Linked DNA regions of Mus musculus: all the other regions are reported to be linked to region 3. The links are microRNA targets in miRTarBase. Many come from high-throughput screens and were not tested one by one. Region 3 holds a microRNA gene; each other region holds the end of a gene's coding sequence.
Evidence for each region. The annotated mature microRNA mmu-miR-223-3p reads UGUCAGUUUGUCAAAUACCCCA and lies in region 3 at 1,372-1,393, opposite strand. An mRNA with a match to its seed (bases 2 to 7 or 8) in the 3' UTR can be bound and repressed. Matches are read on the target gene's strand: a 7mer-m8 pairs with bases 2 to 8, a 7mer-A1 pairs with bases 2 to 7 and ends in A, and an 8mer does both.

Region 1 (3,147 bases), not on the chromosome of region 3:
TGGGTTCTCCCATATCAATCACTAATAAAGACAACCCCTCACAGACATGCCCAATCTGAAGGCATTTCTTCAGTTGAGGATTCCTCTTCCCAAGTGACTTTAATTTACATCACATTGGTAAAAATTGGTAAAACCCGGGGCCTAGCAAACACAGAAGTGGATACTCACAGTCAGCTATTGGATGGATCACAGGGCCCCCAATGGAGGAGCAAGAGAAAGTACCCAAAGAGCTAAAGGGATCTGCAACCCTATAGGTGGAACAACATTATGAACTAACCAGTACCCCGGAGCTCTTGACTCTAGCTGCATATGTATCAAAAGATGGCCTAGTCGGCCATCACTGGAAAGAGAGGCCCATTGGACACGCAAACTGTATATGCCCCAGTACAGGGGAACACCAGGGCCAAAAAGTGGGAGTGGGTAGGGAGGGGAGTCGGGGGGAGGGTATGGGGGGACTTTTGGGATAGCATTGGAACTGTAAATGAGGAAAATACCTAATAAAAATATTTTTAAAAAATTGGTAAAGCAAAACAAAAAACCCAGGACACTTCAATTATCAAACTGTACAGTACTAATATATAAACAGCCATCTCTATCAGTGGAAGAGGATCAAGAGTCCAGAAATAAACCTGGAGAGCCACATCAACTCCTTTTTCGAATAAAAGAACCAATACAATTTAAATGAAGAATACCCCACATAAGTGGGACGGTTGGATATCCACACGTAAGAATAAAATACAAGCTTACTCCATCCATTACAATAATTAACTCAAGATCTGGATCTGGGGATGTGGCCCAATGGTACAGCACTTACCTAACATGTCCAGTGCCTTGGGTTCAATGCCCAGCACTGAAAACAAACAAAACCGAACTCATCGTGGATCAAAAGATCAAATGTAATACATAAGACTAGAAGCCTCCTAAACCTGAAGGCCGTGAATTCAAGTTAGGCAACACTTCTTAGAGAACCTGATTGCAGCGACAAGAGAAAGCAGCTGGCTCAGCAGACAGCAACTGCTACACAGTAGGATGACCTGCTTGAGCCTCAGAAGTTATAATAAAGCTGGGCGTGGCCGTGCACTGATCACCCCAGGACTGGGTGCAGGGCAGAGGCAGGTGAATCCCTGGGGCTTTCCAGCTTAGGAGCTCACTAGGTTTCAGGTTCAGTGAGAGATCCTGTCTCCAAAAAATAGAAGTGGAGAGTGACTGAGGAAAGACATGTGACATCAACTTCTGACTTGTGCGTATGTGCACACACCCACACAAGCACATTTACACACCTCGGGGTAGAAATGACACAATCCTGCCTGGCGCCTGGCAGCTTTTGTGGCCCTCACATTTGGCAGCGCTGAACAGGAGAGGCACAGGGCAGGAACAGCAGCAAGCACAGGCCTCGGGTTTCAGGGACTATGCTAGTTGTTTTTCCTCATTGCTGTGACAAAATACTTAATAAAAAAAAAGGGGGGGGGCTTTACTTCGACTGCCAGCTTAAGGGTGCAGCCAGTCATGGTGGCAGGACTGGGAGGCGAAGGTGGCTGTTCACGTTGCCCCAACCCCACCCCACCCCTGCCAGGGTCCAGGAATACTGGTCCCCAGCTTTCTTCCTTTGTCTTCTAGCCCAGACGACGGTGCCATGCCTTGGTTGAGACTTCCTACCTCAGTTCTCCTAACTAGAAACACCTGCATAGTCAGGTCCGTAGGTATGTCTCCCAGGTGATCTTCCATCAATCCCAAGCATGCAGTGGTTGGTTTTAGCGTCAACTTGCCTCACCTGTGTAGAGAACTGCAGACGACTGCCTCAACAGTCACTCCATGTGTGACACCTGCCATAGGCCTGGCTCTCAGAGGCGGTGGCTGGCGGTAGAGAGGATCACTCACCTTTCGCTGCCTTGACCTTCCCTCCTGCAGCCAGCCTTCTTCACCCTGTGGCTGTGATCTCTTGGCTGCTATCTTAAGCATCTCTTCTCTGGGCTTCCATCCCTAAGAGGCAGCAGTCTCCAGGACCTTTCCGTATTTAAATCCAGACTGGGACTGCTAAAGCAGCAAGCCTCATGGACTGGGCGACCGACCACCCAGTTCTCAGCCTCTCACGGTAAAGTACTAAAACCTCCCGGGTTGGGAACATTTCAAAGGAAGCTAATTTAGTAATACAGAGCCCAAATTCCATTTTTAAATAATAAAATAGAAGCAAAACAAACATAAGAGAAAGAGCGAACAGAAAGCCACGTTATATACACAGAGGACACATAGGGTAAAAAGTGAGAAAAAATAGAAATTAAAAAATATATAGGAAGATAAAATTTTAAAAAGGAGGGAAGAGCCAGGCCTGACACAGTTTGTTCCCTGTGTGCAACTCCTGCTGGGCACGGGGCTCCCCTTAAGGGCAGCCTGCTTCCGCAGTGAGCCTCCCTTGGAGAAAACTACATTTTCATTTGCAAGTGCTCCTCATCTGCAGGCTGACTCTCGTGAGGGTGGAACCATGTGCCTACTTCTCTACTTGAAGCTCTAGAGCTCCCCAAATTCCATTGTTTAATTCATTCAATAAAATAGAGACAAATGTGGTATAATTAAGTGGTATAATTTTTATATACAGAAATGATTCACTCTTAACAAGTTTGAATAAAAAACAACAGTAGCTTTTCTTTCCTTTTTAAACCTAGGACCCACGAAGGCAGTTAAGGCCTCACACTGACTGGTTTTCAGCAGTCAGTCAATAGGAAAGGACACAGTCTTGGATAGAAACGATCACACCGGTGAAGAAAGAAGTCTCTCTTCAACACGGATCCAGGCAGCCAGTCTTCACCTGAGCACAGGGTGGGCGTCACTTCCTGAAGCGTTTGAAAAGCGGGTGCACGTGCTTGCTGGAGGCCTTGCTTCGGGAGGAGTGGTACTCCATGTACACGGTGTCGTCTGCGCCTGACAGGGAGCTCATGGTGCCACAGCGTCGGGATGCCTGTGGGGAGAGGGGGGAGCCAGGCTAAGCTCATCTCCAAACAATCTCACAACACTCGGAATCAAATACAGTTGTGTGGGGTGAGTGTGTGTGTGTGCTGCTAGGGATTGAACCCAGTGTCTTGCTCATGCTAGGCCAGCATTCGGCCACCAAGATAACCCCAGCCCGGAGATATACGGGAGATACACCGTGTT
Region 2 (3,147 bases), not on the chromosome of region 3:
AGCTCCATGCATATTCCATGGGACATGAAAATAAAACACTCACTGGCCGTCACAGCATTTTGCTGCTTAGCAGAATGTATGCAATAATGATCCTTTTTTTTCTTTTAAATGTTGTGTGTGCACGGGTGTTTTGCCTGCATGTGTGTCTGTGCCTGGTGCCATAGAGGCCAAACACATTGGGTTCCCTGGAACTAGAGCTACAGATAGTTCTGAGCTGCCGTGTGGATGCTGGGAATCAAACCCAGGTCCTCTGGTAGAGAAGCCAATGCTCTTCTTGCTGACCCACCTCTCCAGCCCCAACAAGGATCTTAATCAGTGTCTGACATAAGCCTATCCGGCAGCAGAAGAGAAGCTCCTTTTGTTTGTTTTAATAGAAGCCATACAAGTTTCCCAAATGGAAAATCTTGGTTGATCTGGTCACAGGGGAACAGTGTGTCACTTCATGTTCTCTAACCCTCTTTAACCTCCATGTCTTGTAACAGTGTCTGAAAGGTCTGTTGCCTCTTTCTAAAGCCGGAGATCAACATGGAGACAGCCCGGGTACTGTTTGAAGACCATTTATTAGAAAGAAGCCTGTGAGACATTGTGGCAGCAGACAGGATGGGGGTTTGTGAAGGGCCAGGGGCAAAGGGCAACAGCCACAGTGCTGAGATCACCTGCAGATCAGTCCTAGCTTTAGGTAATTCACAACAGGTTGTAGGAAGTGGTTATCAACATCCAAATAAGGCAGTAGAGAAACGTTGACAAAGGACAAAGTTGTTCATTGTAATCCTAAGGCCTAGTCTATTTGAAAGATCAACAGTGAAATTTAAAAATCAAAGATTCCTTCCCACTCCCAAATATATAACAACCATTTGCTCTCTGAAATAAAATAGGCCAAAATTGCAAAGGCTTGAACAAAGGCTTGATTCTTTGATTTAGCACCAAGTAAAATAAGAGAACATCTTTCCTGAAAGGGGGAATTATCTTTTCATTGAACTTCTCATATTTTGTCCCTTCAGGCCACAATATGTAAGGGCAGGTCCTTGCCCCACTAAGAAATCTAAAGTGACTGACATTTTAAAATGGATTCTTAGGGTTGGTTTAGTGGTACACACCTGTAATTTAAGCACTCAGGAGACTAAACCAAGAGGATTGAATGTGAGGCCAGTTTGGACTATATAATAATCCAAAGCCAGCCTGAGTGTGGTGGTGGTGCGCACCTTTAACTTCAGCACTTGGGAGGCAGAAACAGGTGATGGCTCTGAGTTTGAAGCCAGCCTGACTACAGAGTTCAGGGCAGTCAACTACAGTGAGATCCTGTCAGAGCAACAGAACTGAGCCACCACCACCAGCATCAGCAACAGAAGGGGCTGAAGATAAACCACAGTATAGGATGCCTGCCCAGCACTCAGGCTGGTTGGATCCCACTGCTGTAAGTAGAAGAGGAGGCTGCTTAGATGGTACCAGAAGAATTGCTTCCCTTTAAATTAGGGTGGGAAGTGGTAGCACACAGTGATCCCAGCACTTGAGAGAGGCCGAGACAAGAGGATCTTTAATTTAGAACTTCAACACAGGTATAATGTTCTTAAGGGAACTCCCTTACAGTGCTTTTGAACCCACCATGCAAAATCCTATTACTACACCTGTTGTGTAGTGGAATTAGTCAGTCTTTCTGCTGGGGGGCTGTCCCCAGCATGTCCCGTCTACTTGCAGAGTGGCAAATTCCCATGGGTGTGGTGTCACCCTTTAGTTTTCTGTTTACTGTCTTGCTCATCAAGGCAGGCAGTCCGCTTGGATCAAAGAGGGAAACAAACGGGTAGGTCCTAAAACTTGGTCCTCACCCTGAGTGACACGGGAGAACTTAGGACTTAATGCCATTGTCAGTGCCAGTGCTGCTCCTAGAACTTCAGTCAGAACCTAAGTCATACACCTTGGTCCATATCCAAGTCACACGTCCCTACGTGCCAGTGGCTGCATTTTCACAGCAGATTGGATAAGTAGAGGACACACAGCATGGTGGCCTGTTCCCTTGGCTTTTCCTGTTAAGGTAGCAGTGAGTTTACATTTAACATCTGTAAAGCCTGTTGCTTGCTTTCTGAAATCTATAGACAGTGTCTTCTAATACCACATCCCTTCAGGCCAGAAAACATCTTCCTGAATTGCAGTGGGCATTGGCTTATTGAAAAGCCTCGAATGAGATTATTTATCTGCCTTGAATGGTAAATTTTTTTTGAACTTTTCCAGAAAAACATGAAAATGTGATCAACCACTTTGACTAACTGAACAGAAGGTTAGATGGTCACCAGTTGCTCTCCGAGTTAGTTTGTTTCAACATCTCTGACGTTTTCCAATTGCACGTCCACAGAAGACAACCAGGTCCTAGATTAAACATGTGAGGCTATTTTAACAGATCAGGCTAAGTATCTGACTCATTTGGCTTAGCCATTAGGAATAAATCATAATTTTTAGAGAAGTCTTAGGAAAAGAGCTTTGAGATACAGAGGCAAGAAGAGGAGAGGAGGCCCTGCCTCATCCTGCCAGTTGCTGCCCTCTTCAGGGAGTAACAGAGGCCTTTTGGGTAGTTTCTGGAACTTTCGTCTGTAGGAAGGAGTATACGTGGGGCCAGATCTTGTTGGTTTCTGTTCCAGAGAATGTTTCCAACACCCCTTTTTTCCTAAAGATGAAAAACAAAATAGGTAGGTAGATTATACAGATCTGAATGTCCTAATGCGCTTTTTCCAAACAGTTTGTAAAGTTCATGTGAGTTTAGAAGTCCTGATGTGTATTTAGGTCTCTGATCCAGGGGCAAGAAACTTGACTGGACAATGCAAACTGTAGACTGCAGTTCATGTTTTGTCTTCTGGCATAAAGAAAGGGGCTCTTTAAAAGGCTGTCAGCTGTCATACTGAGACTTTGTTGTTGGTTAAGCCTATACTAACACTTTACAGCATGCCAAAAGTCCAGATGCTCCTCCTCCTGGCAGATACACTTGTCTTCTGGGTAGGTACTCAGCCTCAGTCCCCAGGTTGGCGGATTCAAAACGGGGCCATCAGCCTCCAGGACATCACCTTAGCCTTGCTTTGTCCACAGAAGTCTCTAACACTCATTATCCTATCTTTGACCGAGTTCCCTTTTCTCCACTGTTCTACCTCCCTGACTTGTTTT
Region 3 (3,147 bases):
TTTGCTGCAGACATCTTCTGAAGATGGTCTTTGTCCCTAAACAATGGTATTTTTCCATGCAGGGTAAGCCAGTAAGTCATCCCTAGATAGAGATGCATCCCTCCGACAATTCTGAGCAAAATTGGGGTAACAATATGGGTCTTGTTATTTAGGTCACTGGTTAGTGGGTGAAAAGTTAAAGAATGAAAGTAGGTATCTCCAGAACCAAGGGAGAGTATGGAATTTCTCCAGAACCAAGGGAGAGTATGGAATTTCTCTAAAGAAGCTTGCCAAAATATATGTTATGAAATGTTAGACTCTGGAGAGAGGGATTGGAGATGCTTCATTTTATAGTTCTATATTAGAAGTTCACCCCAGTGCAATGATAGAATATTAAAGGCTCAGAAAATTCTGTTTAAAAAGACACGTGTAAACCAATAATTCAAAAAATTTTTCCCTCTGAGTCTATTCTTTCTTCTTGCCCTCCTGCCCCAGACCTAAATCTTATTTCTCAGAGGAAAAAAAAATCCATTTTGGTTACCATCTTGTATACACTATAGCATTAGAATACCCACAGTTTGATTTATTTTTTTCGCAAAACCCTGGTTGGTATTTGACCTATATAGCAAAAGGTTATTGACTAGTAAAACATCAATTAATTGGTAAATATTTATTAATAATTAAAATGTTGGACAATGGTATGAGAGACAGCAATCAACTGAATATAATAAGCTCTAGATTCTTACAATATAATAGGGAATTCAAGAACATACCCTGGAAAAATTCACTGACAACTTTAGAAGATGTGTTGGATGGTAGGACATATAATAGCACATACCAGTATGTGGTTAGCCAAGGAGTAAAGAAAAGTATAGGTTAACTTTCAATAGTGCCAAGAGGAATTGGAATTTGGTAGTGTCTGAAAGCCCAATGAAGATAAACAAGAAGGTTCTTTTAAGAATGATAAAAGCAAAGTGGAAAAGAGAAAATGTAGGTAGCTTAAGATGTGCTCCGAAGGCCAGACAGTGGATATTTATTTCCTACTTTCTCATAGAATTCATGATGCTTGTATGAAAATTCTGCTATTCTGGCTGCAAGAAGAGGAAAGTGAAAGAAGACATTAATAATAAATCAAATAATACTCTCATTCCCTGTATCCCTCATGTACCACTATGCAGTCCATGGCATTTTCACAATGTACACAGATGCATACCAGACTTGTAGACCCCAGAGCTGCATCGTTCCTACTCTGATGTTCTCTGAATAAATGTTATAGTTCCCTTAAAGACATAGAATAACACCAGAGAGCTTCATGTTTCATAAGCATTCATATGTAGGCAGCAGGCTATGTGCTCTGTCCTGGACCTGGAGCTGATAGGCATGAGCCACACTTGGGGTATTTGACAAACTGACACTCTACCACACAGAGTGTCCAACTCAGCTTGTCAAATACACGGAGCGTGACACTGCAGATGGCCAGATCAGGAACCTCCACTGGGCAGCAAGAACATGCTGGAAGATGTGCAACTGGAAAGAGAAAAAAATAGGGTGATTATATCTTACCCTAAGTGTGAGACAAATGGCAGACACTAACATGACTGACTAAGACACACCAAAAGAGGGAAGTGAACAAAACACGCTAATGCTCCAAACAAAAACGGGGATCCTGGGTGTTTGTCTGGAGATTCTGGTGGCCCAAGCCTCAATTAACTCTTCTATTCAGCTGAAACAGGAAAAAATTGTCATCATTCTGTCCTCGGGGACAATTTATGTGTTCCTTCCTCCTATCAACTTCTTGTATGCTCTGTTTACCCTGGTTATGTACCTAGATGTTGATTTTTAAAACTGGATTTGAATTCTACCTCTACCATTAACTAGCTGAACACCTTAAATAAATGAGTTTATGTCCCTGAAACCTACTTCTTCCATAGCCACAAAAATGCCCATGAAATCATGGCAAGAATATGTAATAATGCATATAAAGCCATTAATTTAGTGTTTGTTACCTAACAAATACTCAAAAATTGTGGCTATAGCCAGGTATGATAGTACATGTGTGCATACAAGCTTTCATAGACAGAGATAGGAGAACCTCAGATTTAAAGTCAATTTGGGCTATATAATACTACCCTTTCTCAAACAAAAAAGTAAACAATCAAGATCTAGAGATAAAACTCAGTAGCAGAACACTTACCTAACTTGTACAATACTCTGTATTTGATCCCCTGTACATAAATAAAAGTGACTAAAATGTGCTTTAAAATTAAACATATAAGATAGATACTAACAGGGGAAAAGATAGATAATTTATTTAACAGAATTGAAACAGTAATTTCTTGTGGCCTTAGCCGGCTTTGTCTAACTTGGTTGCCTTTTCTCATAAGCAGTAAAGAATTAATGATATTAAAATGCCCTTATAAGTCATCTAGTTTTACCCATTCAAGATTATAAATGAGAAAATGAAGTCTGATGTTTAGGGAAAGACTTCCAAAAGGTCATAAAACAAGTTGTTTACAGTTTGGGAATTATATCATCCATCAGCTCATTGTGTCCCTTGGCTGTCCACCCCACCACTTTTTCTTGTCTGCTTTTTATATTCCCTTGCAAAAGGGAGAGCAACAGCAACAAAGAGCAAAACAGGCAGTGGATTTTGCAGGGAAGTATTAAGATGTTTGAACTCATAGCTACCAGGGCAGCTGCCAGAAGAGCCAAGCCATCTCAATTTATTTGATATTTTGTTTAGCATCATGATCCTGTTATTCAAAATGCTTGATAGTATCAAATTTTGTCCTACCCAGGTTTAAAGTTTTCTTGGGCATCAATTGTCTTCTCTAGAAATAGAGACAGAAATCTTACATCTCAAGGTCTTGAAAAATGTTGGATGAGACTTCTAGAGCTTTTTAGAAGGGAGCTTAAAGAGACCTTATTTCCAACTCTGGAGCTAGTAAAAGCCAAGGAAAGTGATTAAAAGAGAAAGGAGTAATGGGTTATTGGTTTTGGTTTTCTTGACAGCATCTCTGCTTATCATCTGCTGTAAGGAGAGCTAGACACTTTAGAGATATCCATAGCCTCTCAATTGCCCTATCCGACCTCACATAACCCAAGAACACTGGAAAAGAGCCATGAAAGGGGCTAAAGAGTTCTAGTGCACTGACTTAATAGATTATT
Region 4 (3,147 bases), not on the chromosome of region 3:
CAGAACTGAAGACCAACGCAGCTGCCACCACCCCACCCCACCCCCACCACGCACTGCTGCCTCTTTCTCTTCCAAGCCTTCTTGAGGCTGTTCTCTGAAAGTGCCTGTGACCTGCCAGGGCACAACAAAAAGGGACTCCCAGCAGTAGGAGTGCCCAGCACCTGGGGGGAGGAGGTGAGGCTGTGGTCGAAGGCAGAAGGTTCAAGTCCCCATAGGGAAGGCACAAAACAAAAGCCAGCTTTTGCGTCTCAAAGAGTGAAAAGCACCCGGCCACAGAGCAAGGAGACAACCCTGCGTCTCCAAGGGAGGGACCAGAGGACAAGGCACATGGCCAACTGTTTCCAACCAGAGCTGTCTGGAAGCAAGAGCTTTTGGTAGCATAGGTCACTCTGTGTAAGTGAATAGGGGAGAGGGTAGCTGCCTGAGTCTACCAGGCCAGTGTGGACTCAGAGGTGAGGGTGTGTGTGTGTGTGTGTGTGTGTGTGTGTGTGTGTGTGTGTGTGTGTGTGTGTCAGTGTGAGATTGTGCAGAGAGCCAGTTTGGAAGGTCATATGCAGCTGGCTATCTACGTGGCCAAACTGGGGGCGTGGTGGTGAAGTGGTATCTGCACGTGTCTGACTGTGTGACACATTGCTGGAAGGGGTGGGACACGAGACTGTGTTCAGCCCGTGTGACTTTCGGGTGCCTCTTGGGCTCAGCGTTGGGTGTGTCAGAAGGGGGCGCTCATGGGGCACAGGCCTGGGCTGCAGAAAGGAGTCCGGTAGTCCATCGTCCTGTGGAACATGTTGGAGAGTCAGGACTAGCTACAACCAGCCATTGGTGAAGTGGATCAAAGTAAGGGGGTGTCAGAAGCCAGGCTGCTGTGAGTGGGAAGAAGGAGGAGCCCCTGGGAGTGTAGAACCAGGAGGTTCCCAGCTCTGAATCCAGAGCTCCCTGGGGCTTCTTCCAGCAGTCCATTCAGTTGACTTAACCATGGCCAACATTCCACAAAGCGGGAAGCTTCTCCCTCACCCCAGAACTCCACAGTCCTTTTCATGAGAACCAGCAGTCCTCATGCGATAGCAATCACCCTTTCCTGCCGACCCCTGGCTTTTAAGGACTGTGCCTCAGGACAGAGACTCTACCTCGACGGCTGGCCTTGGAGTCAGGTTTGCCCCTCCAGGCTCACAGCCCTGTCACAAATCCTGCTCTCATGAGTGGACACCCTGTCTCCATCATCCGTCCACATAGCTGTCACTATATATCAACAACCCCCCTCCCCCCACTACCAGCTCCCCTCTGTTCCATGTTCTACTTCAAGTCAATATCCTCACTGTGGCCATGGCCACACCCTGGCCTCATAGTTCCCAGCACATTCCCTGAAGTCCTACCTAACCTTAGCCCTTCCGATCACTGCTCTCTGCCTGGACACTTGCTATCACCTCCCAGGTTTCAGCTTCCTCCCCATGCCTCTGCTACCAATATGTCCATCTGCCCCTCCTTCTTACCAAGCCTAGTGCCACAACCTGAACAAAAAGCCAGCCATAAGGAATCCAATTCTGTGCCATGGATAGAAAGCCAAGGTCCTCGGGCTGATGGGATTTGGGACCCAACCATCAAGCCTGACTGTGACGGCAGCCACTCAGTTCCCTGGCCCTCCTTCCACACTGGGACAGTTACCAACCTCCTGCAATCCTTCCAGCAGCCCTCATACCCATGCTGCTCAATGCACTACCCTCCCTCCACAGCATATCCCATGAGCATCCTTGCCACCAGTGCCAAAAGGAGTGCCAAACAGTTTTACCTGAGTTTTACGTGGCCTCCCCTTGGCTACTGCACTCCCTGCCTTCCCAGTCATCCTCTCCACCCCCACCTCTCCCTCAGTTGCTCCCTATGACGTCACAAGCATTCCATGTAGACACATTCAGTTATGGACAGCAGTACCCACCTCCAGACTCTGAGTACTGAAGCAGTTTTAGTCCCCTACCCCCTACATCTAGAGAAGTCCATGAATGTATTAAGTGTGTGTGTGAGTGTGGTCATATGTAAGCCTGTGTGAATAGGTACCCAGACACACCTCCATGCATATATCCATAGGCACATGTGTGCACACAGATATGGGCCTATGATTGTGTCTTGGACTAAAGTATGTATATATGTACACATGTGTAGATGCTTGTGTTACATGTATGTGTATGTATTAACTACCTATGGCTGTCCCCTCCCTCCCTGCCCTAGACAAGCTCTTCTAGCCCCTCAGTATCTAGCCCTATCTCAAGGCCTACAGTGATGAGATTCCCATCTCCAGCCCAGGCCTTTCCTCTGAGCCCCAGACTTAGGAGTCTCTGTACCCCAGAGTATCTCCCAGCACAGTACTCATCTCCCTGAGCTAGAGTAAATGCCTTAGCACAAACTGGCTTCTGTGGGCAAGCAGACACACACACATACACACACACACACACACACACACACACACACATACACACACATACACACACACATACACGCATACACACATACATGTACACATAGATACATACACCTACGCATACATACACACATATACACACATACACACACATACAAACACACATACACATATACACACATACATACACATACAAACACACACACACACACACACACACCTCACATGGTGCAATCCTGCATGCAAACGAAATGACAGGTTTTCAAAATGAAGGGATAGAACAGAGACAGGGTGAAGTTGACACACAGAAAGCCAAGGCAGGTCAGGGACAGCAGGGAGTGGTGAGAGGTGCCTTCACACCCGCACAGACCACCCACCTGGGTTTCATCCATGTCACTTTGTCCTATCTAGTTTCCTCTTCCTCATCTTCCTCTTCCTCCTCTTCTTCCTCTTCCTCATCTTTGTCCTTGGAACCATTACCAAACTCAAAGTTGCCTTCAATGTCCAAGACCTGCAGGTGTTTCAGCCTCCGGAAGGCGCTTTCCACCACGGAGCCCACAGCCAGCTTGTTGAACCTGAGTGGTGGTCCATGGGTCAGCGGCAGGAGGCCTGGCTGATGCCCTCACACCTACCCAGCTCAGAGGGGAAAGGGGGGAGGGGTGGTATTTGGGAGTGCTACAGCAAGTTTTGAAGGGGGTGCGTGAAGAAGCACAGTACACCCCTGACAAAGAGATCTGTCA

Region 1: the mRNA of Ercc3 is a reported target of mmu-miR-223-3p. The part of its 3' UTR that is shown has no 7-base or 8-base seed match.
Region 2: the mRNA of Ak3 is a reported target of mmu-miR-223-3p. Seed matches in the 3' UTR shown: 7mer-A1 at 1,861-1,867.
Region 4: miRTarBase lists Podn as a target of mmu-miR-223-3p. Seed matches in the 3' UTR shown: 7mer-A1 at 510-516.

Annotation. Positions count from the first base shown.
Region 1 is chr18:32,269,564-32,272,710 of GRCm38, reverse strand. Ercc3 (excision repair cross-complementing rodent repair deficiency, complementation group 3) reads right to left here. Exons shown (of 15, transcript NM_133658.2): 15 at 2,560-2,953. The coding sequence ends at 2,822. Among named protein-coding and RNA genes, the nearest start is that of Ercc3, 31 kb to the right of the region's middle.
Region 2 is chr19:29,020,291-29,023,437 of GRCm38, forward strand. Ak3 (adenylate kinase 3) reads right to left here. Exons shown (of 5, transcript NM_021299.2): 5 at 542-2,656. The coding sequence ends at 2,536. It also overlaps a transcript of Cdc37l1 not described here. Among named protein-coding and RNA genes, the nearest start is that of 1700018L02Rik, 26 kb to the right of the region's middle.
Region 3 is chrX:96,241,130-96,244,276 of GRCm38, reverse strand. It overlaps Mir223 (microRNA 223), which reads right to left and starts at 1,460; the gene lies at 1,351-1,460. It overlaps F630028O10Rik (RIKEN cDNA F630028O10 gene), which reads right to left. Exons shown (of 3, transcript NR_030718.1): 3 at 635-3,147.
Region 4 is chr4:108,014,923-108,018,069 of GRCm38, forward strand. Podn (podocan) reads right to left here. Exons shown (of 13, transcript NM_172874.4): 12 at 2,785-2,982; 13 at 1-773. The coding sequence ends at 2,811. Among named protein-coding and RNA genes, the nearest start is that of Podn, 15 kb to the right of the region's middle.